Linked DNA regions of Anolis sagrei. The protein of the gene in region 3 purifies or fractionates together with the protein of the main gene of each other region. This does not show direct contact. Links are inferred from orthologs where the notes say so. Each region holds a gene or a part of one and is shown on either strand. Other genes may lie near its edges.

The links.
Region 1: the proteins of SLC30A4 (region 3) and FUT8 purify together in Homo sapiens (co-immunoprecipitation; 3 studies listed by BioGRID and IntAct, with this or other methods). This does not show direct contact. The link is inferred for Anolis sagrei from reciprocal best matches to the Homo sapiens genes SLC30A4 and FUT8.
Region 2: the proteins of SLC30A4 (region 3) and PDS5B purify together in Homo sapiens (affinity purification with mass spectrometry; 3 studies listed by BioGRID and IntAct, counting the BioPlex papers as one, with this or other methods). This does not show direct contact. The link is inferred for Anolis sagrei from reciprocal best matches to the Homo sapiens genes SLC30A4 and PDS5B.
Region 4: the proteins of SLC30A4 (region 3) and CIP2A purify together in Homo sapiens (affinity purification with mass spectrometry; 3 studies listed by BioGRID and IntAct, counting the BioPlex papers as one, with this or other methods). This does not show direct contact. The link is inferred for Anolis sagrei from reciprocal best matches to the Homo sapiens genes SLC30A4 and CIP2A.

What each region holds. Positions count from the first base shown.
Region 1 is NC_090021.1:280,572,244-280,580,020, reverse strand, and holds the start of FUT8 (alpha-(1,6)-fucosyltransferase), read right to left. Parts: upstream 3,013-7,777; 5' UTR 2,522-3,012; intron 1-2,521. UniProt on the Homo sapiens protein: Catalyzes the addition of fucose in alpha 1-6 linkage to the first GlcNAc residue, next to the peptide chains in N-glycans.
Region 2 is NC_090023.1:33,552,315-33,560,171, reverse strand, and holds the start of PDS5B (sister chromatid cohesion protein PDS5 homolog B), read right to left. Parts: upstream 3,014-7,857; 5' UTR 2,899-3,013; intron 1-2,898. UniProt on the Homo sapiens protein: Regulator of sister chromatid cohesion in mitosis which may stabilize cohesin complex association with chromatin. May couple sister chromatid cohesion during mitosis to DNA replication.
Region 3 is NC_090029.1:31,684,754-31,692,647, forward strand, and holds the start of SLC30A4 (probable proton-coupled zinc antiporter SLC30A4), read right to left. Parts: upstream 3,001-7,894; 5' UTR 2,749-3,000; intron 1-2,748. UniProt on the Homo sapiens protein: Probable proton-coupled zinc ion antiporter mediating zinc import from cytoplasm potentially into the endocytic compartment. Controls zinc deposition in milk.
Region 4 is NC_090023.1:46,980,310-46,987,492, forward strand, and holds the start of CIP2A (protein CIP2A), read right to left. Parts: upstream 3,006-7,183; 5' UTR 2,872-3,005; coding exon 2,770-2,871; intron 1-2,769.

The DNA.
Region 1 (7,777 bases), on a different chromosome or scaffold from region 3:
TGGGGAAATTCTTTATTGGGAGGGTATTAGCTGGACCTGATTGTTTCTTGTCTGGAAGTAGCCAGTTTTTGAGTGATGTTTTTTATTTAGTCACAAGACCTAGGTGAGTGACCAAATGCACCTCACTCTCCAACTGGATCTGCAAAACTCCCCTATATATCAAAAGCATTGCATAAATTAGTATAAAAACTGACAAAAATAGAAGGAGCACAAGTGGCTAAATATCTTTTGACCAAAAATTGTCAACAGCAATCACATTGTCTGTAGCTTCAAACAATTCTTCCCTCTGTACATGAGACAGGACATTGCAGACAAGCATACAGATGCGGAGTTGTCTGTTCTGCTCCACAGTCACACAAGGTGAAGGATTCCTTTAGGTAGTGCCATTTTGCCAGGCTGTCTTTTGATCTGCCCACTCCACTTCTGAGTCTGTTCTTGGTTTGCCCCTGGAGGCAGACCCTCGTAGGGGATCATCCAACTGGGGTTTCCTGGTTTAGCTGCCCATAGGGATACTCTTGCTGTGGTTGAGAAGTTAAGAGGAGTAGTGATTCTCACGAAGCTTTTCTTGGATTTGAGTCTACCAGGGAAACTCCCAATTCCACAGCATAGAGCCTAAGGCAGTGAAAGTGGTGTCAAGCCACAATAATTCTACAGTGTAGATGCACCCCCAAGAAGCAAGTCGGGCATGTTTAGCCTGCAGAAGACAAAGCTGATAGGAGACATAATGAGGGCCATGTATAAATATGTGAGGGGAAGTCATAGAGAGGAGGGAGCAGGCTTGTTTTATGCTGCCCTGGAGACTAGGACACAGAACAATGGCTTCAAACTACAGAAAAGAAGATTCCACCTGAACATTAGGAAGAACTTCCTAACTGTGAGAGCTGTTCAGCAGTGGAACTCTCTGCCCGGGAGTGTGGCGGAGGCTTTTAAACAGAGGCTGGATGGGGTGTTGTAGGTTTTTTCGGGCCATATGGCCACATTCTAGAGGCATTCTCTCCTGACGTTTCGCCTGCATCTATGGCAAGCATCCTCAGAGGTAGTGAGAGGCTGGATGGCCATCTGTTGGGGGTGCTTTGAATGCAATTCTCCTGCTTCTTGGCAGGGGGTTGGACTGGATGGCCCACGAGGTCTCTTCCAACTCTAGGATTCTATTCAACACATCACAATAGAGTATGAGTCCACTTTAAATCCGATTGCTGCCTCCTGCAGAATTCTGGGGTTTGTAGTTTAGTGAGGCTGTTAAAGGCGCCTCCCTAAACTACAAACCCCAGAATCCTGCAGGAGGCAGCAACTGGATTTAAAGTGGATTCATTCTCTCTAATGTGATTGAAGTAGCATGATGCTAGGACAGTTGTGGTGTGATGAATTAGATGCTACTTCTATTATTGTATGACAGTGCATGTATTGACAAGTGTCAAGCCACTGTCAAGTCACTGCTCTCCATGGAAAAGCATGCCATTGTGTCATAAACACCCAGGGTTTTGTTTTTGTCCTGTCAGGAGCAACTTGAGAAACTGCAAGTCTCTTCTGGTGTGAGAGAACTGGCCGTCTGCAAAGACGTTGCCCAGGGGACGCCCAGATGTTTTGATGTTTTATCATCCTTGTGCATGTGGCCACATGCACGATGGAGGACCTTCTTGCGGCAACACCAGAGGCACTCCAAGTGGCCAGATCCTGGTCAAAGGACATTTAATCAGCTACCAAGTTTGCAAAATTTGTGTTGTTTTTTTATCTGTTTGTTTGTTCTGTTCTGTTGGAAATGTAATACAATGTTCTGGTTGCGGATGACACGATAAATAATAAATATCATCCTTGTGGGAGGCTTCTCTGGTGTCCCTGCATGAGGAGCTGGAGCTGATAGAGGGAGCTCATCCGCGCCCAGGGTGGCATCCTAGCAAAACAAGGCACCCCAGGTTCACTTCCTGACTGAAGAGGCAAAAGTTTAAATCTGGGGCGGAGGGGGGAGGAAGGAGGGGGGAAGGGGAAGTGCGAAAGTCACTCCCACAGCTCTTTCTTGACGCACGCTTCCTGCAGAGTCGACCCCCCCCCCTTCTTTCCCTCCCTCCCTCCCTTCTTTCCTTCCTTCCTTCCTCCCCCAGATTGCAACGGCAGTCCCAACAGTCTCTCCGGGTGGGCATCTGTGCAGGGCCCACGATGCCCCGCTGTCCTCCTTCCCCGCATCAGCCTCCCTGCCTGCCTGCCTGCCTTTCCCCCCTCCTCCCATTTCCCGGCTCCACAGCATAGCAACGGGGCTTCCCTTAACGTTCCGACCTGAGGCGCCCAGGCCCGAGCCAGGATGACACAGCCGGCGGTGCTCCTCTGAGGGAGACGAAGAGGCAGGAAGGAAGGAAGGAAGGACGGTCCTCCGGCTTCCCCTTCTTCTTCCTCCGCTGCCTCCTCACAGGCCGCTGGCGAAGGATGAAGGGAGGAGGAAGAGGGGAAAGCGCATCCTCCTCTCAAGTTCCCTCTTCGCAGGACCCTCTCTCTCTCTCACTCACTCCACATTCACGCCTCGTCTTACCCGAATCTTCGTCGCCCGCCAGCGGGCTCTCGTCGGTTCGTCGCCTCTGCCTTTCTTCGTCTCTCTCTCTCTCTCTCTCTCTCTCTCTCTCTCTCTCTGAGATGGAGGAAAAGGAAGGAAAGGAGGGAGGGAGGGAAGGGGAAAAAGAGATGGAAAGACACGGAAACAGGAACCCGCTCGCCGTTTTAGCGGGAGCCTCTGACGAGACTGGAGGAGAAAGAAAGAGAGAGGAAAGAGACCCTCCCTGACAGACAGAACAGAGAGAGAGAGGGAGGGAGGGAGGAAGGGAAGAGCGAGGGAAAGAGGGAGGGAGGGAGGGGGAGTTAAAAACGGAACGCGCGCGCGCACACACAAACACTCGCTCGCTCGCGCCCCCTTCCTGCGCGCGCGCACCAAAGGAACCTTCAAGGAACGGTGGTGGGCGGGCGCGCGCGCGCGCTCGCGAGAGAGAGAGGGAGAGAAGGTATTATTGGCCCTCGGCGCGTCAAGACTGGAGTCCAAAGGAACCCATAGAGAGGAGGGCGTGGCCTAAAGCGCGCTCTGGCTGTTTTTTAGGAGGGCAACCAATGAGAGAGGCGCCGCGTGAAATCTCCAGGCGGGCGGAACGTTAGCTTCACAAACCCGAGCGAGCAAAGGCGATGAAGAGCGGGCAAGGCGCATGCGCGCTAAGCAGCCGACTCCCCTTCGCCCTTCCCTTTTCGGTCCTGTCTGTTTAGGCGTTGGGTTCGGAGTCGGATGTGCTGGAGGGAGGGAGGGAGGGAGGGACGGGAGGAGGACGCGGGACAGGGCCATTGGTGGGCCTGTTTCTCCCCTCTCAGCCTCAGCGTTGGTCTTCTGCTGCTCCCGACCCCTTCGCTCTTGAAATACTTCATCACACTAGAGCAGGCACCCTCGAACCGCGGCCCTCCAGCTGCTTGGGCCTCCAACTCCTAGAAGCCCCAATGAGCTCGTCCAATTGTCAGGAATTCTGGGAGTTGAAGGCCCAAAAAGCTGGAGGGCCGCAGTTGGAGGGTGCCTGCATTAGAGAACGAATCCACTTTAAATCCGGTTTCTGCCTCCTGCAGAATTCTGGGGTTTGTAGTTTGTGAGGCTGTTAAAAGCTCCTCCCTAATCAGAGCTCTGCTCCATGGAAGAACCGTTCTGAGCAATGTCTGGGGTCTGCACAAGTTACAGCGCGATGATTCCACTTTAACTGCCATGGTTCCAACCAGGCCCGTAGCCAGGATTTTGATGGGGGGGGGGGGGGACTGAGTTTGCTGGGGTGGGGGGGCGCTCAGGGTCTACCCTAGCAAACCTTTTGCATCGTTATCCCAATGCCCCATGCATATGGGATATATTGAGCATGGTGATCAGATCATGATATGAATAAACATAACAGTTTAAATAATGTACCAGTAAGGCCTTCTCGCAGACCACCCTGAGAATTGGGGGGGGGCTGAAGCCCCTCAAGCCACCCCTCCCCAGCTATGGGCCTGGTTCCAACCCATGGAATGTGGGAATTGCCAGTTTAGGGAGGAGGATTTCAGATTCCCAGCCAGACAGATGTGCCTCTGACCAAACTACAAACCCAGGATTCCATAGGATGGAACCATAGTACTTCAAGTGGAATTGTAGCACTATAATTGTGTAGTGTGAATAGGCCCAGATTTTATTAGGCAGCCTAGAATCTAGAGCTGTGGTTCTCAACCTGTGGGTCCCCAGATGTTTTGGCCTACAACTCTCCAAAATCCCAGCCACTTTACCAGCTGTTAAGATTTCTGGGAGTTGAAGGCCAAAACATCTGGGGACCACACAGGTTGAGAACCACTGATCTAGATGAACCATTGTAAGTCATTTTGGGAATGGGTAAAGAAGGGATCACAGTTAAAATAAAGAGTGCTGCATGGAGTCCTAGACACCCTAAATGCACCAGATCTAATAATAATAATACTGGGATCTGCACGCATTAATCGCCGATACATCACACAGTCCTAGACACTTGGGAAGTGCGACGTGTGATCCAATACAACAGCCAGCAGAGTACCTGCTGTGGACTCATCTTGTTGTGTTTCTAATAATAATAATAATAATAATATAATGATTCATTGCAACTTGTGCCACAAATACCATCTGCCAGCAACAAAGAACTGGTGTGATCACAAGCCTAAAAAAGTTACAGAAAAACAACACGTCAAACTAGTCTGGGACTTCCGAATTCAGACAGACAGTTTTGGAGCCCAATACTCCTGACCTCACGATCGTGTAAAAAAACAAAATATGGATTGTTAATGTTGCCATCCCAGGTGACAGCAGGATTGAAGAGAAACAACTGGAAAAGCTGACATGATATGAGGATTTAAAGATCGAACTGCAAAGACTCTGGCACAAGCCAGTCAAGGTGGTCCCAGTAGTAATCGGCACACTGGGTGCAGTGCTTAAAGACCTTGGCCTGCACTTAAACACAATTGGCGCTGACAAAATTACCATCTTCCAGCTGCAGAAGGCTACCTTACTGAGATCTGCAAGCATTATTCACTGATACATCACAGTCCTAGACACTTGGGAAGTGTCTTACATGTGATCCAATACAACAACCAGCAGAGTGTCTGCTGTGGACTCGTGTTTCTAATAATAATAATAATAATAATAATAATAATAATAATAATCTTTATTTATAGACCGCTTTCTCTCCCCGAGGGGACTCAGGGCAGTTTACACACAAAAGAGGCAAACATTAAATGCCTAAACATCTCAAATAATGCAAAATAATAACTGTAAACTTACAACAGCAGAGAAATTAACATCAGAATGGGAAACAGAGTGCGAGTAATAAACATAATTATACGAATATCATAGTTAACGACATAAACCATAAGAGGGGGGCATCCAGTTGTGATTACCTGATAGACGAGTGGTGGTTCTTTTTCTTGATTTAAAGCCTACTGGGAGAACGCTGATAGCCACACAGTTGGTGGTTTTCACAGTGTTCAACCTTGTTTCTCTCCCAATTGACAGCAACTTCCTGTTGCACATTGGGGAGGGGGGGCAATGCCAGCTAGCTTATAAAGTCTATCAACAGCTGTAGGTTTAAGACATCCTGTGATTATTCTACGTGTCTCAGTGTCATTCACCTCCTTCTCGTGGGCAGACTTGTGCCAGATGGGACCATTAGTGAAAATACCTACAATTTTAAAAAGTTAATAATAAATAGATTTATATCTCGGTTCTATCATTAACCAAAATGGAAGCTGTAGTCAAGAGATAAAAGGATTTAAGCTTTGGGCCCCATCTATACTGCCAGTTTGAAACTGCATTATATGGCAGTATAGATGGGCCTTTGGAAGTGCAGCTAGGAAGAAACTAAAGATGTTTCATTGAAACCAAAGTTAGGCTCACCCACCCTTTACTATTTCTAATCTTAGTGTATAACCTGGAAGGCTGGAGAGTATAAAAAATTGGCCAGGGAAAAATTAACTCATTTGAAATGTGCTGGAGGAAAATTTTATCGATACCCTGAACTGCCAAAAAGATAAACGAACCAATCTGGGAGAAAATCAAGTCTGAATTTTCACTAATGGCTAAACTAACTATCATAAACGACTAAACCTCGGGCTATTGTATTTTGGACACATAATGAGATGACATGAATCTTTAGAAAAGATGATACTTCTTGATTAAGTGCGTGACAGCGGGCAAAGGAGACCACATTAACTTTGACAGCAAGGCTATTGATGATGAGGGTGGAGGCGTGTTCATTAAAAGTAGCTTGATGGCAAATAACACCAACAAAGAACCATACAAGACCTTAAAGGGTAATGTTAAAATCTGTTAAGTTAGGAAGTATAGACAGTCCTCCACATTCGCTGGAGTTAGGGACATAGGATCCCCAGAAACCGAACAAAGGGGAGAGGAGGCGGAGTAGCCTTATATGTCAAAAACTCATGCTGCAGAAGAGATTCAAGACAGCAATCTGGGAAACCAGCTTGAAATCATCTGGATAAGAATCAAGGGAACTGGGACTCAAAAAGATGTCGTTGTAGGCGTCTACAACAGACCCCCAAGCCAGGAGGAAGAACTTGATGAAGTCTTCTGCCAACAGTTGACCAAACAGGCACAGAGAAGAGATGTAGTAGTCATGGGCGATTTCAACTATCCCGATATTTGCTGGAAAACAAACTCGGCCAAGAGTACAAGGTCCAACAAATTCCTCACTTGCCTTGAAGACAATTTCATGGTCCAGAAGGTAGAAGAGGCAACAAGGGGATTGGCTACTCTTGATCTCATCCTAACAAATGCGGAGGACCTGATCGATGCGGTCGAAGTGGTAGGATCCTTAGGGGCAAGTGACCATATGCTCCTGCAATTTGAGGTACAAAGGAAGGCCGAAACGAAGACAAGTCAAACCCGCATTTTGGACTTTAGGAGAGCTGATTTCCAAAAAATGAAGGAAACACTGAGCAGCATTCCGTGGACACAGATACTAAAAGACAAGGGAGTTACGGATGGATGGGAATTTCTCAAGAATGAAATACTCAAGGCGCAATTGCAAACCGTGCCAACAAAGAGAAAAAATAGGACAAGTGCAAAGAAGCCAGAATGGATGTCCAAAGAACTTCTAACTGTGCTAAGACACAAAAGAGACATGCACAAGAAGTGGAAAAAGGGAGAAATCAGGGAGAAAAGGGAGAAGAATTCAAACAAATAGCCAACACCTGTAGGGAAAAGGACCGCAAGGCTAAAGCAAAAAATGAGCTCAGACTTGCCAGGGACATTAAAAACAATAAAAAGGGCTTCTATTCTTATGTCAGTAGAAAAAGGAAAAACAAGGAGGCGATAGGACCTCTTCGAGGAGAAGATGGGGCAATGCTGACAGGGGATAGGGAAAAGGCAGAACTACTTAATGCCTTCTTTGCCTCGGTCTTCTCACAAAAAGAGAGTCTTCAACCTCAGCAAGATGGAGTGGATGAGGGATTGGAGGACATCCAACCCCAAATTGGGAAAGAAGTCGTCCAGGAATACCTGGCCGCTCTTAATGAGTTCAAGTCCCCAGGGCCAGATCAACTACACCCCAGAGTATTGAAGGAACTAGCGGAAGTCATTTCGGAACCTTTGGCAACCATCTTTGAGAGTTCTTGGAGAACGGGAGAAATTCCAGCAGATTGGAGGAGGGCCAATGTGGTCCCAATCTTCAAGAAGGGAAAAAAGGATGACCCAAACAACTACCGTCCGGTCAGCCTCACGTCGATACCAGGCAAGATTCTGGAAAAGATTGTTAAG
Region 2 (7,857 bases), on a different chromosome or scaffold from region 3:
CAGTGAGCGAGACATATACACACAGGCAAAGAACTGCCTCAGAGATTGGAGAAAGGCACATCTTAGGACAGGTAAGAATTAGAATTGTTTGACACCTCTTTAACTGCCATGGCCCATTGCTAGGAAATCTTGGGAGTTATAGGTTGGGATGGCACTAGCCCCCTTTGGCAGAAGAGGCTAAAGACCTTCCCATAATTCTATAGAATTGACCCATGGAAGCTAAAGGGGCTGTCAAACTGGATTAACTTTACAATATAGATGCATCGATTTCCCAGGGTAGGATCTATACTAAAACCAACAGAGTTTGGATCTGCTATATTGGAAACCTTGAGTGAGACATATACACACAGGCAGGGAACATCTTTGGAGATTGGAGGAAGAAACATTTTAGGACAGGTAAGAATTAGAATTGTTTGGCACCTCTTTCACTGCCATGGGCCAATGCTAGGGAATCCTGAGAATTGTAGTTTGGCATGGCACCAGCCCCCTTTGGCACAAAAGTCTAAAGACCTTCCCATAATTCCATAGAACTGACCCATGGAAGCTAAAGAGGGTGTCAAACTGGATTAACTTTACAATGTAGATGCATTGATTTCCCAGGGTAGGATCTACACTAAAACCAACAGAGTTTGGATCTGCTATACTGGAAACCATGAGCAAGACATATACACACAGGCAAAGAACTGCCTCAGAGATTGGAGGAAGGCACATCTTAGGACAGGTAAGAATCAGAATTGTTTGACACCTCTTCAACTGCCATAGCCCAATGCTAGGGAATCCTGGGAGTTGCAGTTTGGCATGGCACCAGCCCACTTTGGCAGAAAAGGCTAAAGACCTTCCCATAATTCCATAGAACTGACCCATGGAAGCTAAAGAAGGTGTCAAACTGGATTAACTTTACAATGTAGATGCATCGATTCCCCGGGGTAGAATACATACTAAAACCAGCACACCTATTGGAGATGGCTAGTGAGACATAGACACATCTTAGGACAGGCACTTTAAGAGTGTATAATGCAGGCATGGACCAACTTGGAACCTCTATAATTCTACAGAACTGGCCCATGGAAGCTAAAGGAGGTGTCAAACTGAATTAACTTTACAATGTAGATGCATCAATTTCCCAGGATAGAATACATACTAAAAGCAACACACCTATAGGAGATGGCTAGCGAGACATTGACACATTTTAGGATAGGCAAGTTGAAAGTGTATAATGCAGGCATGGGCCAACTTGGGACCACCAGGTGTTTTGGACTCCAACTCCCACCATTCCTAACAGGCTCCTTCTCCCCCTTTCCCCCAGCCGCTTAAGGGGCCTGAGGCTGTTAGGGATGGTGGGAATTGAAGTCCAAAACACTTGGAGGGCCCAAGTTGACCCATGCCTGCTGTAGATTTATACTAAAACCAGCACAGTTTAGATCTGTTTATATTGGAGATGGCTAGCGAGACATTGACACATCTTAGGACAGGCAAGTTAAAAGTGTATAATGCAGGCATGGGCCAACTTGGGACCACCAGGTGTTTTGGACTCCAACTCCCACCATTCCTAACAGGTTCCTTCTCCCCCTTTCCCCCAGCCGCTTAAGGGGCCTGAGGCTGTTAAGGATGGTGGGAATTGAAGTCCAAAACACTTGGAGGGCCCAAGTTGACCCATGCCTGCTGTAGATTTATAGTAAAACCAGCACAGTTTGGATCTGTTTATATTGGAGATGGCTAGCGAGACATTGGCACATCTTAGGACAGGCAAGTTAAAAGTGTATAATGCAGGCATGGACCAACTTGGGACCACCAGGTGTTTTGGACTCCAACTCCCACCATTCCTAACAGGCTCCTTCTCCCCCTTTCACCCAGCCGCTTAAGGGGCCTGAGGCTGTCAGGAATGGTGGGAATTGAGTCCAAAACACCTGGAATGGAGGGCCCAAGTTGGCCCATGCCTTCTGTAGATTTATACTAAAACCAGCAGAGTTTGGATCTGTTTATATTGGAGATGGCTAGCAAGGCACTGACACATCTTAGGACAGGCAAGTTAAAGGTGTATAATGCAGGTATGGGCCAACTTGGGACCACCAGGTGTTTTGGACTCCAACTCCCACCATTCCTAACAGGCTCTCCCCCCTCCCTCAGCCAATTAAGGGTCCTGAGGTTGTTAGGAATGGTGGGAACTGAAGTCCAAAACACCTGGAGGGCCCAAGTTGGCCCATGCCTGCTGTAGATTTATACTAAAACCAGCACAGTTTGGGTCTGTTTATATTGGAGACGGCTAGCGAGACACAGACACACAGACAAGGAACTTCCTCGGAGAATGGAGAAAGTAGGAGGCATTTGGAAGCCCCTTCCTCGCTAGAAGGACGACTAGGCCGAAGAGGAGAAAGCAAAGCTCAGAAGAAGAGTCTTGGAAGTGGGGAGAAAAGGTGGGAAAGTATCCTAGTGCCACATTGGAGGGGCCATCTACACCGAGCATGGAACGCAGTTTCAAACCGGTACAGAAGAAAGTGCAGGCGATTGACAAGAGGACATCCATAGGAACCCATTTGCGGCCCTCGGGGAGGCGCACGTTGAGGGCGTCCTTTTGCGCGCTTTTGTGGGCATTCCCCCCTCGGTTTCGACCCGCATTGAATGCTGAGTGCAGACGGGGGCCCTGAGGGAAGCGGGAGAAAGGTCTAGATTGGGCTGAACGGGGCGGGGAGGCGGAAAGAGGCCCAGAAAAGCCCGCAAGCCAGGCAGGCAGGAAAAGGGCGGCAAGTTCAATATGCGAGGAACGGCTGAGGCGAAGGAAGGAAAGAAGGAAGGAAGGATGGCGGCGTGAGGCGGGGAAGGAGACGGAGAAGAGGCGCCAAACAGGCTCCTCGTCGGGAGCCCGAGGCGGCGAAAAAAGGGCCTTTTTCTGTCCCTTACCTGGAAAGCCGTGGCGGTGGGGCTGGAGCCGAGACAAGGCAGAGCCTCCTCTCTCGCCCTCGCTCTCTCTCTCTCGCCCGCCGCGCTCGGACACCACAGCCGTCGCTCGCGCCCGCCGCAGCCAATCAGCGCCCGCCGTGGGCCCCCTCCCTCCCTCCCCTTCCGCAACTCCCCCTCCCACCTCCCCTTCGGCGGCTTCAAAATGGCGCCAACTCGTCTCTTTCCGAGGGACCCCGCCGCTGAGCGGAGAGGCCGGCGCCAAAGTGAGGCAGCAGCGGCCCCTGCAGGTTGGGAGAGGAAGCGCAGGGCGAAAGCTCAACCAGGCATGGGCAAACTTCGGCCCTCCGATCCCCCTGCAGGTTGGAAGAGGAAGCACATTGCGAAAGCCCTTGGAATGGGGCTTATTTATTTCTCATGTCAGGGCAGCCAGTCAATTATGTTACATTTCTGACAGAACAAAGCAAACAAACAGAGAAAATACAAAATGTGTGAGTTTGGTAGTTGATTAAATGCCCTTTGACCAGTATCAAGGTGCTGGCGTTAGCCTATAAAGCCTTAAACGGTTCTGGCCCTACTTACCTCTCCGAACGCATCTCCACCTATGAACCGACCAGGACATTAAGATCGTCCAGGGAGGCCCTGCTCTCGGTCCCGCCTGCGTCACAGGCACGGTTGGCGGGGACGAGAGACAGGGCCTTCTCGGTGGTGGCCCCTCGGCTATGGAATGCCTTACCTGTAGACATCAGACAGGCCCCTTCGCTGCTGGCGTTCCGGAGGAAGGTTAAGACCTGGCTCTACGAACAAGTGTTTGGCTAAGCAGTGCAACTGAACACAGGAAGACAGTAAAATTGAACATAGGAAATGGTACAAGGATTATGAGAACGGATTCTGATTTGTTAATGAGGCGTTATGATATGATGTTGATTGTTTGATTTTGTCTGCTGTATATGATGTGTTTTAATCGCTTTATTGTTGTGATAACCCGTATTGTATAAACCGCATTGAGTCGCCTAATTAGGCTGAAAAATGCGGTATAGAAATAAAGCAAATAAATAATAAATAAATATCTGCCCACTTGGAGTGCTTCTGGTGTTGCTGCAAGAAGGTCCTCCATTGTTCATGTGGCAGGGCTCAGGTTGCATTGCAGCAGGTGGTCAGTGGTTTGCTCCTCTCCGCACTCGCATGTCAAGGATTCCACTTTGTAGCCCCATTTCTGAAGGTTGGCTCTGCATCTCGTGGTGCCAGAACGCAGTCTGTTCAGCGCCTTCCAAGTCGCCCAGTCCTCTGTGTGCCCAGGGGGGAGTTTCTCATTTGGTATCAGCCATTGGTTGAGGTTCTGGGTTTAAGCCTGCCACTTTTGGACTCTCGCTTGCTGAGGTGTTCCAGCGAGTGTCTCTGTAGATCTTAGAAAACTATGTCTGGATTTAAGTCGTTGACGTGCTGGCTGATACCCAAACAAGGGATGAGCTGGAGATGTCTCTGCCTTGGTACTTTCACTATTGGCTGCCACTTCCCAGCGGATGTCAGGTGGTGCGATACTGGCTAGACAGTGTAATTTCTCCAGTGGTGTAGGGAGCAGACACCCCATGATAATGCGGCATGTCTCATTAAGAGCCACATCCACTGTTTTAGTGTGGTGAGATGTGTTCCACACTGGGCATGCATACTCAGCAGCAGGGTAGCACAGCGCAAGGACAGATGTCTTCACTAAACCAGCATTTCTCAGCTTGGGGGGAGGGGGGGAACATGACAGAAGCCTTCTCGCAGGATTGCAAGACATCCGGGCATCCCCTGGGCAACGTCCTCGTAGACAGCTGATTCTCTCACTCCAGAAGCGACCAGAAGCGACTTGCAGCATGCAAACAAGCAAGCAAATTTTATTTTTTATTTATTTCGAGTACTTCAACCCCCCCCTCAACCCCCTAGGGGGGACTCAGGGCGGCTTACAACCAGCACAATTCGATGCCAACAATTCAACATAGCAGCAGTAATCACAAATAGTTAAAAACAATCAATTAATACAATAACAACTAAAAGTAAAGCCAATCTAGTGGCTAACATTCACTGAGTTCTAAAAATCCGTAAGTCCATTCAGCATTATCATAGTCCTTTCCAAACTCTGGTCGTCATTACCTTCTCAGTCTGTCGGATTACCCAAAGGCCTGGTCCCATATCCATGTTTTCAACTTCCTTCTGAAGGAAAGAGGGGATGTTGATGACCTAATTTCCCCGGGGAGTGAATTCCACAGGCGAGGGGCCACCACTGAGAAGGCTCTGTCCCTCTTCCCCACCAGCCTCAATTGTGATAAAGGTGGGGCCGAGAGCAGGGCCTCCCCAGAAGATCTTAAGCTCCGAGGTGGGACATAGAAGCAAACAAGCAAGCAAAACAACCAACGGACCTTTTCAGGACCAACCATAACAATAATCTCAATCAACATGTCAGCTGCCAAAGAACAACTGCTCTATAAACTGTGCCAAGATAAGAAATGTGATGTGCTGTGTGTCCAAGAAACACACAGGAATTAACAACAGAAATGACCAAAAGTTCCAGGAATGGTCTTAGTAGCAGAAAGACCACATGCGCAGTATAGAAGCGCTGTCTTTATAAAACCAGGCCTCCAAGTCAGCAGTGCCCACAATACTGAAGAAAACAATGTCGAGGTTATAACAGTAAAGTTTAATAACATCACCTCTGTGTACAACCCCCCAAATGAAGAGTTCTGCTTCTCCTCCCCCAAGAACTTTGACAGGCACCAAAGGGCGGTAGTAATTGGTGACTTTAACAGCCATAGTCATGTATGGGGCTATGCTCAAGAGGACAGAAATGGAGAGGCTGTCCTGTCCTGGTCTGAACTGCACAAACTATCACTCATCCATGATAGCAAGCTCCCACCATCCTACAACAGCAGGAGATGGCACCGAGGTTATAACCCAGACCTCTTATTTGTAAGCGACAGCTTTGAAAGGCAGCAGATCACAGGAGCTGTCTTTATAGACCTGTCAGTGGCTTATGATACTGTAAACCACCGCCTCCTCCTGAGAAAAATGTATAATATCACAAAGGACTACCATCTCACCCGCTTCATAGGAAACCTGCTACAAAACAGGAGCTTTTTTGTTGAGTTCCAGGGCCAGAGAAGCAGATGGTGGAAACAGAAGAACGGCCTGCCTCAGGGAAGAGTGCTTGCTCCATCCATGTTCAACATCTACACAAATGACCAGCCACTGCCAGAAGGGACAGAGAGTTTAATCTATGCAGATGATTGTGCCATTACCGCTCAAGCAGGGAGCTTTGAGATGGTTGAACAGAAGCTCTCCAAAGCTCTAGATCAGGCATGGGGAACCTTCGGCCCTCCAGGTGTGGTGGACTTCAACTCCCACAATTCCTTGAGGCCAAGGTAAGCCTTTGGGGCGAATGCCGAGCCTCAAGGAATTGTGGGAGTTGAAGTCCACCACACCTGGAGGGCCGAAGGTTCCTGACCCCTGCTCTAGATGCTCTTACTGCCTATTACAGGGAAAACCAGTTGATCCCTAACCCATCTAAAACACAGACATGTGCTTTTCATCTCAAGAACAGACAGGCATCCCGAGCTCTGAGGAAGAACAGACTGCTGAACAGACTGCGCTCTGGCACCACGAGATGCAGAGCCAACCTCAAGAAATGGGGCTACAAAGTGGAATCCACCACATGCGAGTGTGGAGAAGAGCAAACCACAGACCACCTGCTGCAATGCAACCTGAGCCCCGCCACACTAGGCATGCATACTCAGCAGCAGAGTAGCACAGCGCAAGAGCAGATGTCTTCACTGTATCTGGTTGTGATCCCCAGGTTGTGCCAGTCAGCCATTCAATGATGCCATTCATCCATCTTGCCCTTGGTCAGCCTCTCTTCCTTTTTCCTTCAATTTTCCCCAGCATAATTGTCTTCTCTAAGCTTTCCTGTCTCCTCGTGATATGGCCAAAGTACTTCAACTTTGTCCTGCATATCAGATATTAAATTACGACTCATAACAGTCCACATCAGCTCTAGTTAAACATATACCACCCAATAGTCGCCATCTGCTCACCCACAGAAAACCATATTTAGTAATCGAGAGTTATGGACCTTATTTTAGGTCTTGCGGCCCACAGGTTTGGAATCAAGCATGGGCAAACTTTGGCCCTCTGACCCTGCAGGTTGGGAGAGGAAGCGCAGGGTAAAAGCCCTTGGAATAGGGCTAAACCAGGCATGGGCAAACTTCTGTCTTCTGGGTGTTTTGGACTGCAACTCTCACAATTCCTAACAGCCTACCGGCAGTTAGGAATTGTGGCAGTTGCTGTCCAAAACACTCAGAGGGCTGAAGTTTGCCCATGGATGGTAAAGTTCATCAAACTCGCAAGACATGAGTTTGACCAATGTAATCTACACTATAGAATTAAGAAAGTTTATTTATTTATTTACATTTATATCCCGCTCTTCTCACCCGAAGCGGACTCGGCGTCTTACATAATTGGCATTATTCCATCCCCAAACAACAACAAGAATTTAAAGCAAGTAACACTTTAAAACAACTTTAAAACAATATATGTAAACATTAGATGACTATTGTGCATAGATTCAAAGCCAGCTAATCAAACAATCATATTCATCAATCCAGGGTCAATTCCCACCATGAACATTCCACAGAAATATAAATCTCACTTGCCTAGTTTCCAACAGACATCTCAACCTCAGAGGATGCCTGCCATAGATGTGGGCAAAACATCAGGAGAGAATGCTTCTAGAATGTGGTCATACAGCCTGGAAAACTCACAGTAAACCAGTCAGAGGTTTATTACAATTTGGTCAGAAAGGATTGAAGTACATGCAATTTGCTTCTGAAGGAGCAAGCATAAACATACAGAGAAATGCAGGACATCTTATACAGTTCTGGTTTCCCACTCCCTCCCCTGATTGGCTGAAAAAGAGGCTGACTAGGA
Region 3 (7,894 bases):
AACAAAGGCATGTCTCTTTCCATCGCAAAAGCAAAAAAGATTTGCAGTGACACAAAAGGCTTATAGGTATACAACAGCACCTTTCTTGCCATCGCAAAGCCAGAAAGGACTTGTAGGTACACAACAGACTTACAGCTACACAACAGTTCTACTCTTTTAATTGCAAAGGCAGAAAAGACTTGCAGGTACACAAAAGCACCTCTCTTCCTATCACAAAGTCAGAAAAGACTTGCAAGTACACAACAGAACTTTTCTTTCCATTGCAAAAGCAGAAAAGACTTGCAAATACACAACAGCACCCCTCTTTCCATCGCAAAGTCAGAAAAGACTGCAACACAACAGCACCTCTCTTTCCATTGCAAAGTCAGAAACTACTTGCAAATACACAACAGCACCTCTCTTTCCATTGCAAAGTCATAAAAAACTGCAACACAACAGCACCTCTCTTTCCATCGCAAAGTCAGAAAGGCTTGCAAATACACAACAGCAGCTCTCTTTCCATCGTAAAGACAGAAACTACTTGCAAATACACAACAGCACCTCTCTTTCCATCGTAAAGCCAGAAACTACTTGCAAATACACAATAGCACCTTTCTTTCCATCGCAAAGTCAGAAAAGGCTTGCAAATACACAACAGCACCACTCTTTTCATCACAGGTACACAACAGCAGTTCTTTTTCCATCACAAAGTCAAAAAAGACTTGCAAGTACACAACAGAAATTTTCATGGGGGGGGGTGAGTCAGAAATGACTGACAGGTACACAACAGACTTACAAATACACAACAGCACCTCCCTTTTCATTACAAAGCCAGGAAAGACTTACAGGTACACAGCAGCAGTTCTTTTTCCATCACCAAGTCAGAAAAGACTTGCAAGTACACAACAGAAATTTCCATCAAAAAGTCAGAAATGACTGACAGGTACACAACAGACCTACAAGTACACAACAGTTCTTTTGCTGTTGTATACCCGAAAAGACTTGCAGGGACACAACAGACTTATAGGTACACAACAGACTTACAAGTACGCAACAGCACCGCTCTTTTCACCACAAAGCCAGGAAAGACTTACAGGGACACAGCAGACTTATAGGTACACAACAGACTTACAGATACACAACAGCAGTCTATTTTCATCACAAAGCCAGGAAAGACTTACAGGTATACAACAGCAGTTCTTTTGCTGTTGTATACCAGAAAAGACTTGCAAGGACACAACAGACTTACAGGTACACAACAGCAGTTCTTTTTCCATCACAAAGTTAGAAAAGACTTGCAAATACACAACAGAACTTTTCTTTCCACCGCAAATTCAGAAACTACTTGCAAATACACAACAGCACCTCTCTTTCCATCGCAAAGTCATAAAAGACTTACAGGTACACAACAGCACCGCTCTTTTAATCACAAAGCCAGGAAAGACTTAAAGGTATACAACAGCCGGTTTTTTGCTGTTGTATACCTGAAAAGACTTGCAGGGACACAACAGACTTACAGGTACATAACAGCAGTACTTTTTCCATCACAAAGTCAGAAAAGACTTGCAAATACACAACAGAACTTTTCTTTCCATCGCAAAGTCAGAAAAGACTTACAGGTAAACAACAGACTTACAGGTACACAACAACAGTACTTTTTCCATCACAAAGTCAGAAAAGACTTGCAAATACACAACAGAATTTTTCTTTCCACCAAAAAAGTCAGAAAGTACCTGGAAATACACAACAGCACCTCTCTTTCCATTGCAAAGTCAGAAAAGACTTGCAGGTACACAACAGACTTACAGGTACACAACAGCACTGCTCTTATCATCACAAAGCCAGGAAAGATTTACAAATACACAACAGGACCTCTCTTTCCATCGCCAAGTCAGAAAAGACTTTATAGGTATACAACAGCAGTTCTTTTGCAGTTGTATACCTGAAAAGACTTGCAGGGACACAACAGACTTACAGGTACATAACAGCAGTACTTTTTCCATCACAAAGTCAGAAAAGACTTGCAAATACACAACAGAACTTTTCTTTCCATCGCAAAGTCAGAAAAGACTTACAAATACACAACAGACTTACAAGTACACAACAGCACTGCTCTTTTCATCACAAAGTCAGGAAAGACTTACAGGTATACAACAGCAGTTCTTTTGCAGTTGTATACCTGAAAAGACTTGCAGGGACACAACAGACTTACAGGTACACAACAGCACCGCTCTTTCCATCGCAAAGCCAGGAAAGACTTGCAAATACACAACAGCACCTGTCTTTCCATCGCAAAGTCATAAAAGACTTGCAGGTACACAACATGGCACAACAGTGCTCCTCCTTGCCCAGGTGCAAAGTCTAGCAAGGCTGGACAGTCATGGCTCTCCTCTTCATTCACACCTCGTCCATCTCCTCAAGTGTCCATGGAGGGGGCAGAGAAGGTAGGCAACCCCAGAATCAAAGTGTCAGAAGAGACCCCACAAGGCAGGAAGGCACCATCGAAACCCTCCCAACAGATGCCCACCCAGCCTCTGCTTGGCTCTGCCCAGGTTAGATGGGGTTTGGCTGTGGAGCAGAGGCCTGGGCCAACTTGGGCCTTCCCTCCAGGTGTTTTGGACTTCAACTCCCAGAATTCCTAGCAGCCTCAGGCCCTTTGGGCAAAAGGGCCTGAGGCTGCTAGGAATTCTGGGAGTTGAAGTCCAAAACACCTGGAGGGAAGGCCCAAGTTGGCCCAGGCCTGCTGTGAGAGGGATACGAATGCTGCACCTCCAAGACGCGTGTCTTCAGGCGCACGTCGGGATGGGCGCGGGTCCCCGCCTGGCAGGGAGGGAAGGAGGGGCATTCCTGGGGAGAGGGAGGGAGAGGGACCCGGCCAGGCCCCCCCGGCTGCTGCCTCTCCATGCCGCCCTTCAGCCCTGAAGGCAGAGAGAGAGAGAGAGGCCTCCTCCTCCTCGTCCACGGCGACGTCTCTCAACCAGCAACTGCCCCGGCGCCGCGGCTTCGGAAGGGTTAACCCGCGCGCAAGGCAGGCTGGGAACTGTAGGCAGGGAAGGAGGGGCGGGGCCTCGCAGGCGGTAGCCACGCCTCCACTCAGTCTCAGCCCCTCTCTACTTTTCCCCATTGGGACTTGAGGCAGCATGCATTCTTAGGGTGTATATAAATTTATATATGTGTGTGTGTGTATATGTGAATGTGTATATGTGTGTATGTATGTTTATGTGCATATATGGACCTATATGTGTGTGTTTATATGTATGTGTATATATGGATATATGTGTGTATGTGTGTATGTTTTTATATGTGTATGTGTATATATATATATGTGTATGTATATGTATATGTGTATATATGGACGTGTATGTGTATATGTGTGTATTGTATTTATGTGTATGTTTATATGCATGTGTATATATGGATATATATGTGTGTTTGTATATATGTGTATGTTTATATGCATGTGTATGTGTATACATGGACATGTGTGTATCTGTGTATTGTATATATGTATGTTTATGTGTATATATGGATATATATGTGTGTATGTGTACATGTGTGTATTGTATATATGCATGTGTATGTGTATATATGGATATGTGTGTATTGTATATATCTGTATGTTTATATGTATGTGTATGTGTATATATGGACATATGTATATGTGTGTATTGTATATATGTATGTTTATGTATATGTGTATATATGGATATATATGTGTATATATGTATATGTGTATATATGGATATATATGTGTGTATGTGTATGTTTATATGCATGTGTATGTGTATATCTGGATATGTGTATGTGTGTATTGTATATATGTGTATGTTTATGTGTATGTGTATATATGGATATATATGTGTGGATATGTGTATGTGAGTGTATATATATGTGTGGATATGTGTATGTGAGTGTATATATATGTGTGTATGGACATGTATGTGTATATGTATATAACAAAATACCAAATTCATTGTACCAAAATAAATTATTACACTATATTAAAAAAAGGAATTAAAACCAGTTGACAACACTTAAAACACTGCCATATAAAATCCAGATTATCTGCTTTGAACTGGATTATATGGCAGTGTAGACTTCTATAATCCACTTAAAAGCAGGTAACGTGGATTACTCGCTTTGATCATTTGTATTACATGGCAGTGTAGAACCAGCTTGAGTCTTTAGGAAATCTTACCCAGCTGTTTTCCAAAATCCCGGGGTCTCCAGTTGGTCCAATGAAACAAGCAGAAGGCAGGAGTAGAAATTGATCCAGTGTGTCTTTCAAATACAGACCATGGGTATTATATAGAGAATTCATATGCATTTGGGAACATGAGAAACAGGCGATTGGTGCAGTGCCGGGATCTGCAATCCCATTGGTCCAAAAGTGCATTTATTCGCAGTCTGTGACCGGTGCAAATTAGGATCCACAATGGTACTGATTCAAAAATGCATGCAAACAAGAAAAAAAGGGGAAAACTTTATTAAGAAATACGAACAGGATTGATCTCGCAAACCGCAGCAGTAGAACAGAGAGCACCAGAAGAACAATTTGTAAATTGTTTTGAAAACACTTGATAATAAGAATTAGACTTTACTGTTCTTCGTTTGCGGCTTATCTCATTTTGGTTTTCTATTGTTGTGGGATGGACACAGAGCCTCGTCTTTCCCAAGAACCAAATCTGTAAAGGCAAAAGAACGGCGTGTTCTTCTCTTTAGCTTTTTGATAGTTTGTATAGTTTACTTATAAATATTTTGAAGCTTTGTGTTCCATGTTGGCTATAAAATATTTGACAAGTCGTTTCCTTTTTTCCAGTTACTTGCTTGCATTAAACTTTGGGCCTTTCTAGATTGCCATATAATCCAAAATATCAAGGCAAATAATCCACATGTTTTGGATTATCTGCGTCTACCCTACCATATAATCCACTTAAAAACGGATAATCTGGATTTTATATATTAGTGTAGAAGCCTACACTGATATGTGTAGGCTATGTGAAATGAGCAATACAAATTTGCCTGAATTTTTATGCATCTTATATATGGTTTTCATGTGACCTGTTGTGTCCTCACACATTTAATTGGGTTGCTGTAGGTTTTTCGGGCTATATGGCCATGGTCTAGAGACATTCTCTCCTGACGTTTCTCCTGCATCTATGGCAAGCATCCTCAGAGGTAGGGAGGTCTGTTGGAAGTAGAAAAATGGGTTTATATATCTGTGGAATGACCAGGGTGGGACAAAGAACTCTTGTCTGCTGGAGCTAGGTGTGAATGTTTCAACTGACCACCTTGATTAGCATTTGATGGGGTGGCAGTGCCTGGGGGAATCTTTTGTTGAGAGGTGATTAGATGTGCCTGATTGTTTACTCTCTGTTGTTGTGCTGTTTTAATTTTAGAATTTTTTAATACTGGTAGCCATATTTTGTTCATTTTCATGGTTTCCTCCTTTCTGTTGAAATTGTCCACATGCTTGTGTACATTTAACTGTTGCAGTTTATATGTTCAACTCTGTTAGAAGGCGTTGTCTTAACCTCTGGTTTGCTAGTAAAACGGAACGGCAAAGGCCCCTTCTACACTGCCATAAAAAAATCCAGATTATCTGCTTTGAACTGGATTAAGTGGCAATGTAGACGAAGATAGAATCCTAGAGTTGGAAGAGACCTCATGGGCCATCCAGTCCAACCCCCTGCCAAGAAGCAGGAATATTGCATTAAAAGCACCCCTGACAGATGGCCATCCGGCCTCTGTTTAAAAGCTTCCAAAGAAGGAGCCTCCACCATACTCCGGGGCAGAGAGTTCCACTGCTGAACGGCTCTCACAGTCAGGAAGTTCTTCTTCATGTTCAGATGGAATCTCCTTTCTTGTAGTTTGAAGCCATTGCTCCGCGTCCTAGTCTCCAGGGAAGCAGAAAACAAGCTTGCTCCCTCCTCCCTGTGGCTTCCTCTCACATATTTATAAATGGCTATCATGTCTCCTCTCACCCTTCTGCCAACATAGCAGTTCGAAAACATGCAAATGTGAGTAGATCAATAGGTACCGCTCTGGCGGGAAGGTAACGGTGCTCCATGCAGTCATGCTGGCCACATGACCTTGGAGGTGTCTACGGACAGCACTGGCTCTTCGGCTTAGAAATGGAGATGAGCACCACACCCCAGAGTCAGACATGACTGGACTTAATGTCAGGGGACTATCTTTACCAATCATGTCTCCTCTCAGCCATTTCTTCAGGCTAAACATGCCCAGCTCTTTAAGCCGCTCCTCATAGGGCTTGTTCTCCAGACCCTTGATCATTTTAGTCTATTTAATCAATTTCAAATCTGAAAATGTGGATTTTCTGCTTTGATAACCTTATGATAACCATATAATCAAAGCAGATAATCCGCATTATCTATTTTGAACTGGTTTATATGACTCTAGCTTGCCACATAATCCAGTGCAAAGCAGATAATAATAATAATAATAATAATAATAATAATAATAATAGTAAAACCTTATTTGTACCCCGCTACCAGGTACACAAGGGACTCGGTGCGGCTTACATGAGTCCGAACCCACAATACATCAAAACAAACAAATACTAATGCGAAACAATTAAAATAAATCTCATACACAAATAGCATAAACATTGAACAGTGGAAACAAAACATATTTAGGAGGTGGGGCGTGGAGGGAACATACAAGCAGTGCTAAATCAGTATAAAGTGCTTTTGGAGGACATAATGCTGTGTTGTTGTTCATTCGTTCAGTCGTCTCTGACTCTTGGTAACCTCACGGACCAGCCCACGCCAGAGCTCCATGTCGGCCATCACCACCCCCAGCTCCTTCAAGGTCAGTCCAGTCACTTCAAGGATGCCATCCATCCATCTTGCCCTTGGTCGGCCCCTCTTCCTTTTGCCTTCCACTTTCCCCAGCATCATTCCGTTCTCTAGGCTTTGCTGTCTCCTCATGATGTGGCCAAAGGACTTCAACTTGGCCTCTAGTATCCTTCCCTCCAATGAGCGGTCGGGCTTTCTTTCCTGGAGGATGGACTGGTTGGATCTTCTTGCAGTCCAAGGCACTCTCAGAACTTTCCTCCAACACCACAGCTCAAAAGCATCGATTTTCCTTCGCTCAGCCTTCCCGAAGGTCCATCTCTCACATCCGTAGGTGACTACAGGGAATACCATGGCTTTGACTAGGCAATGGATCTTTGTTGCCAGTCTGATGTCTCTGCTCTTTACTATTTTATCGAGACAGGACATTGCTCTCCTCCCAAGAAATAAGCGTCTTCTGGCCACTGTCTGCATCTGTAGTAATCTAAGGGTAATGCTAAGGGTTCATTATTCTGGGAAGGCACACTGGAACAACCATGTCTTCAAGCTCCTCCTAAAGACTGCCAGTGTTGGGGCATGCCTGATATCCTTAGGGAGTGAGTTCCAGAGTTGAGGGGCCACCACCGAGAAGGCCCTCTCTCTCATCCCCACCAATCGCGCTTGCGATGGAGGTGGGATCGAGAGCAGGGCCTCTCCAGATGATCGAAGAGATCGTGTGGGTTCGTACACAGAAATGCGGTCCCAAACTGTTCAAATAGTTTGGATCTTAAATGGCAGTGTATAAAGGGCTGTAGTTGGCCTACTCTTTGAGATCCAAAATAAAATGTGTATTGTATTATTCCATTTCCCTTTATTGGACCCTTCCAAACAGCCATGTAACTCAGAATATCAAGGCAGATAATCCACAATATCTGCTTTGAATTGAGTCATCTGAGTCCACTTTGTCATATAATCCAGTTCAATGTGGATTGTATATATCTGTGTGGAAGGAGTCTGGGAAAAACTCTGCTCCATCTTTCCCAAGAGCCTCAAAAGAACTTCTATTCTAGGTTCTTGTGGGTTTTTTCGGGCTATAGGGCCATGTTCTAGAGGCATTTCTC
Region 4 (7,183 bases), on a different chromosome or scaffold from region 3:
CAATTCAAATTCAATTCCAGACAGCCTGGAACAACAGCTAAGAATGCTGGGAACCAGAGCCCAAAGCACCTGGAAGACAAGGGGCCCTTCCACCCAGAATATCAAGGAAAGAAATCCAACAATATCTGCTTTGAACTGGGCTATCTGAGGGCCCTTCCAGATAAACCCTATATCCCAGGATCTGATAGGTCAACAGGCAACTTAAGGACACACATAGACAAGGATTAGAGATAGTAGGAAATTACACTTTCCAATTCATAGCAGAACTTCCCGGCGGATGTCAGGTGGTGCAATGTCGCCCTAGGGCTGAGAATTGCGGTATATAAGCGCAGTAAATAAATAAATAAATCTCTTTTTTTTCAAATTTCAGGAATATAGTAAAGTGTTTTGTAATGACCAGTTGATCCAAATAACTGTCAACTCAACTGGAAGCTGTGGCTCTCCAAGGCAGTGACATCTCCAGCTCATCCCTTGTTTGGGTATCAGCCAGCACGTCAACGACTTAAATCACGAAATAGTTTTCTTAGATCTACAGACACTCGCTGGAACACCTCAGCAAGCGAGAGTCCAAAAGTGGCAGGCTCAAACCCAGCACCTCAATCCGTGGGTGATACCAGATGACAGATCCTGGGATATAGGGCCCTTCCACACAGGCCCTATATCCCAGGATCTGATCCCAGGTTTTCTGCTTTGAATCGAATTATGTGAGTCTGCACTGTCAGATGAACTGGGATAACCAGAAAACCTGGAATCAGATCCTAGGATATAGGGCCGGTCTGGAAGGGCCCCGAGTCCACACTGTCATATGATGGTTGAATAAAAAGCAATGCCTCCACCTTCGAAACTTGTCAATAGATAGCAGTACTGGTAGCCAGTACAGTTCCATTTTGGTGGGAAGCCTTAGCATTAAACAGTTGTGTTGTTAAAGTGCGAAGCATGGAACCCTGCAGAGATGGTCGGTCAATGCGACTTAAGCAACGTGCAGTCATTTAATTCCTGACAGCAGGTGTCACCTCAACATCTTTAAACTTACTCGCCCAACGACTCAGTTCTCACATTAACACAATCACCATAAACAGCTTGCATTCTCTGATGAATCTCCTTAGGGGTGCCACCTTCTGCTGTCAAGAATTCAATGACTGCACGTTGCTTGTCACATTGACCAACCACCTGCACAGGGTTCCATGCTTCGCACTTTAACACAACCATTCAATGATAAGGCTTCCCGCCAAAATGGAACTGCAGAGGAGCATCTACTGAACAAGCCAGTACCTGCCACATACCAGTACTGCCATATGTTGAGTTACGACAGTGGAGGCATTACTTTTCATTCAACCCTCATATATCCCAACTCAAAGCAGGAAATGTGGGATTTTATTCAGCAGTGTGGATAAGGCCAAAGTTTGGGAAACAGTGGATTAAAACACGACTCTGCCCTCAAAGAAGTCAACAATGCTAAAAAAAAGAAAGAACCCACAGGAGGATTCTAAAGGAAAGCTGTTTTTCTGAACAGCAGACAAATAGTACCCGTTAAAAGACTGATCACTTGAAAGATCAGGGAGAGCTTTGAAAGATCATAAGTATGAATCATTAAATTCGGCTGTTGTAGGTTTTTTCGGGCTATATGGCCATGTTCTAGAGGCATTCTCTCCTGACATTTCGCCTGCATCTATGTGGAAGCTCTAGGTGCTCTTACTGTCTATTACAGGGAAAACCAACTGATCCCTAATCCATCTAAAACACAGACATGTGCCTTTCACATTAAGAACAGACAAGCATCCTGAGCTCTGAGGATTACCTGGGAAGGAATCCCACTGGAGCATTGCTGCACACCCAAATACCTGGGAGTCACTCTGGACCGTGCTCTGACCTACAAGCATTGCCTGAATATCAAGCAAAAAGTGGGCGCTAGAAAAAATATCATACGAAAGCTGACTGGCACAACCTGGGGATCACAACCAGACACAGTGAAGACATCTGCCCTTGTGCTGTGCTACTCTGCTGCTGAGTATGCATGCCCAGTGTGGAACATATCTCACCACGCTAAAACAGTGGATGTGGCTCTTAATGAGACATGCCGCATTATCACAGGGTGTCTGCGCCCTACACCACTGGAGAAATTACACTGCTTAGCCAGCATTGCACCACCTGACATCTGCCGATAGTCAGGTAGCAGCCAATAGTGAATGGACCAAGGCAGTGACATCTCCAGCTCATCCCTTGTTTGGGTATCAGCCAGCACGTCAACGACTTAAATCACGAAATAGTTTTCTTAGATCTACAGACACTCGCTGGAACACCTCAGCAAGCGAGAGTCCAAAAGTGGCAGGCTCAAACCCAGCACCTCAATCCGTGGGTGATACCAGATGACAGACTCCCCCCTGGGCAGACAGAAGACTGGGCGACTTGGAAGGCGCTGAACAGATTGCGCTCTGGCACCACGAGATGCAGAGCCAATCTTAAGAAATGGGACAAGCATCCTCAGAGGTTGTGATGTCGTTTAAGGATATTTAATCATTTAATTTGCAACAATTAATAATGTAAAGATCACAATTAGTCATTGTTTATAATAGTTGCCTATTGATAAAGAGGGCGAGGAGACTTAGACCAGGCCTCCTCAAACTGCGGCCCTCCAACTCCCACTGAACAAGCAGGCGAGGGCTTCTGGGAGTTGGAGGCCCCAAGAGCGGGAGGCCTGCCTCGGACAGAGAGGCCGAAGGAAGGATGGAAGGAAGCCCCCTCCTCCTCCCGAACTCCTGCTCTTCCTACCTCCAGGCTCCGCTGCAGGAGCGCCGCGTTGGGCTGGGTGCGAGCCGCCCGGTACTGAGAGGCCGCCAGGAGCAGCGACTTCATGCAGGCCGAGGCGTCCATGCCGCCGCGGAGCGCCAGTATCACCAAACTTGGGCTCCCGGTCTCTCTTTCACTCTCCCGAAATCGTATTTGGCGCCTTGGCCGCCATTTTGAGGCCGCGACCGACCACGACGACGCCCCTCGGGAGCACTTCCGCCCAGCCTGGTGCATGCTGGGAAGGCGCGAGGCGGCTGCCTGATCTGAGGAGCGCGCGCCTTCCTCCAGGCAGCAGAACCAATGCAGTTGGAGGAATGCCCTTGGACTTCTAAGGCCTTGCAAGACTACAAATCCCACAATTCCATGTCAGCTCAAGTGGTATCAACCTGCATTCATTCTACAGTGTAGGTGCACCCTCAGTCTCCAAAGTGAGGCACTTAAAAGTGGTGCCAAAGCTGCATTAGCATAGTAATTCAGGCATGGGCAAACTTCAGCCTTCCCACAACTCCTAACAGCCTCAGCTCCTTTCCTTTTCCCCTCAGGGGTCTGAAGCTGTTAGGAATTGTGGGAGTTGAAGTTCAAAACTTCTGGAGGGCCAAAGTTTGCTCATGCCTTATCTAGGTAAAGGTTTAAGTCTAGTCATGTCCGACTGAGCGTTGGTTTTATCTCAATTTCTGAGCCGAAGAGCCGGTATTGTCCACAGACACCTCCAAGATCATGTGGCCAGCATGACTGATAGTATGATAGCTGGGTCCAGAAGCTCCCAAGTGTTAAGGAGATGATGCAAAGATGATAAATAAGGGAAAAGAGAGGGCAGAGTGAGAGCAGAGAGAGCGAAGGAAGGATAGAAAGGAGGGGACGCTTAGGATAAGGGTTAGGGCAAAGTTCAGGATTTGGGTTAGGGTTAAGGTTAGGGTACGGGTAAGGTTTAGGATTTGGGTTAGCATAAGAGTTAGGGCAGGGGTCCTCAAACTAAGGCCCGTGGACCAGATGTGGCCCTCCAAGGTCATTTACCCGGCCCTCGCTCAGGGTCAACCTCAGTGAAATTATTTGAAAGCACACAACAAGAACAACAATCCTATCTCATCAGCCAAAAGCAGGCCCACACTTCCCATTGAAATACCAAAAAAAAAAAACCAATAAGTTTATATTTGTCAGTATTGTTTTAAAGTGTTTTTTGCATTACAAATAAGATATGTGCAGTGTGTATAGGAATTCATTCTAAATGTTTTTTTCAAATTATTATCCGGCCCTCCAACAGTTTGAGGGACTGTGACCTGGCCCTCTGTTTAAAAAGTTTGTGGATCCCTGGGTTAGGGTAATGTTTAGGGTTTGGGTTAGGGCAAGGTTTTGGGTAAGGGGTTAGGGTTAGGCTTACGGTACGGTTCACGGTTAGGGTAAAGATTAGGGTTTCACCATTAAAGAACTCTTACATTCCTTCTATATTATCTGTCTTCGGCCTGGCTTACATTAGCTAAGTCTCTCTTGCACAAACAGCACTCCCGAACAAGCGATGCGGCATCTCTGTAACACTCGGAGCTTCCGGACCCAGCTATCATATTATTTCCAACATGACTGCATGGAGCGTTGTTACAGTCCTACCAGAATGGTACCTATTGATCTACTCATTTGCATGTTTTCGAACTGTTAGGTTGACAGAAGCTGGGGCTAACAGCAGGAACTCACACAACTTTCCTGATTCGAACAGCTGACCTTTCAGTCAACAAGTTCAGCAGCTCAGCGGTTTAACCCACTTCAGGCATGTGGGCCCCCTGTGATGCATTGGGTTAAACCGCTGAGCTGCTGAACTTGTTGATTGAAAGGTCAGCTGTTCGAAGAATTAATGCTGTTTGGCACCTCTTTACCTGCCAATGCTTAAGTTTTAAAGAATCCTGGGATTTTTAGTTTTGTGAGGCACCAACACTCTGGAAGCAAAGGTCTTGTAAAACCGAACCCTCAGGATTCAATGGCATTGAGATACGGCAGTAAAAGTGGTGTCAAACTGCATCAATTTCCTCAGTGTAGATGCACACATCTTTGAGGATTCCTTGCCTAAGCAACAAGGCCACCCCAGATTTTATATTCTGTCACCTTCATGAGAGTTTAGCCTTCCTTTTTTATTTGATTTCTTAATGCAGCTGCGCTCTTCTCCTTTCAGTTCTCAGGGACCCATATTTATGTATAGTTTATTTATATAGTTTTTGCCACAAAAATACAGTAGTATTGAATATGTTGCAAGTTGCCACAGAACTTTATTTTTCTACCCTGCCTCCATCTCCCCAAGGGGACTTGGGGCGGCTTACATGGGGCCAAGCCCAAGCAACATATAGTTAAAAGCAAAAAGAACAACAAATTAAAATAGCACAAAACAGCGTAACAGTAATAAACAAGTATCAAGCAACAGCAGACCAATTTTGGAGGGAGGAAGGAGGCCAACATACGAACTGATTAAAGGATAAATGGTTCAATAAGGTGGGCGAAACATATAATGGCACAGGAGATATCATGGAAACAGAGCTGAAACTGTGAAGACTATTGTGGGTAATAATGAATCCCCTTTCAATAGCACTCTGCACATCTACTGTAGTAAAAACAAGAGTTCTTCGTTTTCTTATGTTTCTTCATTGCGGTGGTCATCCATAGACTCTACAGATAGGGATTTTGTATTGGCACCATTCTGCTATTTTTCTGTTGTTTTTTAATTCATTTATAAACTTCCCTGAGAAATTTGCAACAGGAAAGTATAGGGAATCCCCAAGTTATGAGCAAGGGAGGTTCTGTAAGTTTGTTCTTAAGTTGTCTTTGGTTCTAAGATGGATCAGATTTCTTTTTAAAGTGTAACTCCAGCCAGGATATATATTTAGAGAGAGAGAGAGAGAGGTGGAGCCCCCAGTGGTGCAGTGGGTCAAAGCGCTGAGCTGTTGAACTTGCTGACTGAAAGGTTACAGGTTTGGATCTGGGGAGCGGCATGAGCTCCCGCTGTTAGTCCCAGCTTCTGTCAACCTAGCAGTTCGAAAACATGCAAATGTGAGTAGATCAATAGGTACCGCTCCACCGGGAAGGTAACAGCTCTCCATGCAGTCATGCTGGCCACATGACCTTGGAGGCGCCTACAGACAATGCCGACTCTTTGGCTTAGAAATGGAGAGGAGCATCACCCCCCCCCCCCAGAGTTGGACACAACTGGATTTGGACTTAATGTCAGAGGGGAACCTTTACCTTTACTATAGGTATAGATATATATGTATATGTATATTCTGGCTGGAGTTATACTTAAAAATGCATGCTTTGGATAGCATAGGGAAGGATTAACTCCCCTGTGGTCTTTGTTTTGCGCTCCGTGCTAAACATTGCAGAAGATTTCACCTCACTTTATGTCCTTGTGAGAATTGGATTTTGAAAATTTTGACTTGTTACGGAAACAAAGATTACTGAGAAAGCTTCAGTGGAGACATCTCCCCCCCCCCCCCCCATGATAACTGTCATGAGCAAATTTTTCTTCCAAGGGGAAGATTTCTCTCACTTCCAGTTGTCTCACTCCCCATAACCATTTTGATTGCAATTGTTTTCCAACTTATTTTTATTAAGAATAATTTGGCTCCGAGAGGTTGGAGTGTGAAGAAAGTTTGTAAAATCATGATAGGTTTATATCAAAAGTGTGAGAACAATATGAGAAGGAAAGTAGGAAAGGAAAGAGACGGGGGTTGGGGAGTGGGAAGTTGAAAAAAGGTAGTAATAACAAAATAAATTAAGGGGGGGGGGGGGCAAGAAGAAGTTGCATGTAACTTCCAGGCTGTTTTAGGTTGTGTTAACCTAAGAACTTTTTTCTATTGTGTTGCAATTATTTCCTATTACATCATTGTCTAGTGAATTTGCATGATCTGTAAGTGTTCCTGAAATAACCTCCATATTTCTTTGGTCAACTGTACACTTACCTTTGATTTATAGAACTGTGTTATATGGCAGTGTAGACTCATATAATCCAGTTCAAAACAGATAATGTGGATTATCTGCTTTGATAATCTTGATTATATGGCAGTGTAGAAGGGGCCCAGAAATCAGTGAGATGTTATCAGATAGTGTAACTTTTTACAATAATAATAATAATAATAATAAGACTTTATTTATATTTTGCCCTATCTCCCATAGGGAGATACAGTTATATTGAGATCCCTTTAGTGGTAATTTCATCCAGCTGTTTTATCTGTCCATTTGGAATTACTCCAGAGTGCAATTACTACTAGAACCCAAGTTGTCTTCTATTTATTTGTTTCTTTCTTTCTTTCCTTTCCGCCCCAGGAACTTACCAATGTTGAATCCAGCTAAAAGTTCACATTGTTGAAACATACAAAACTTAAAATAGGATTATCAATATAATTAAAAACATTTAAAGAGT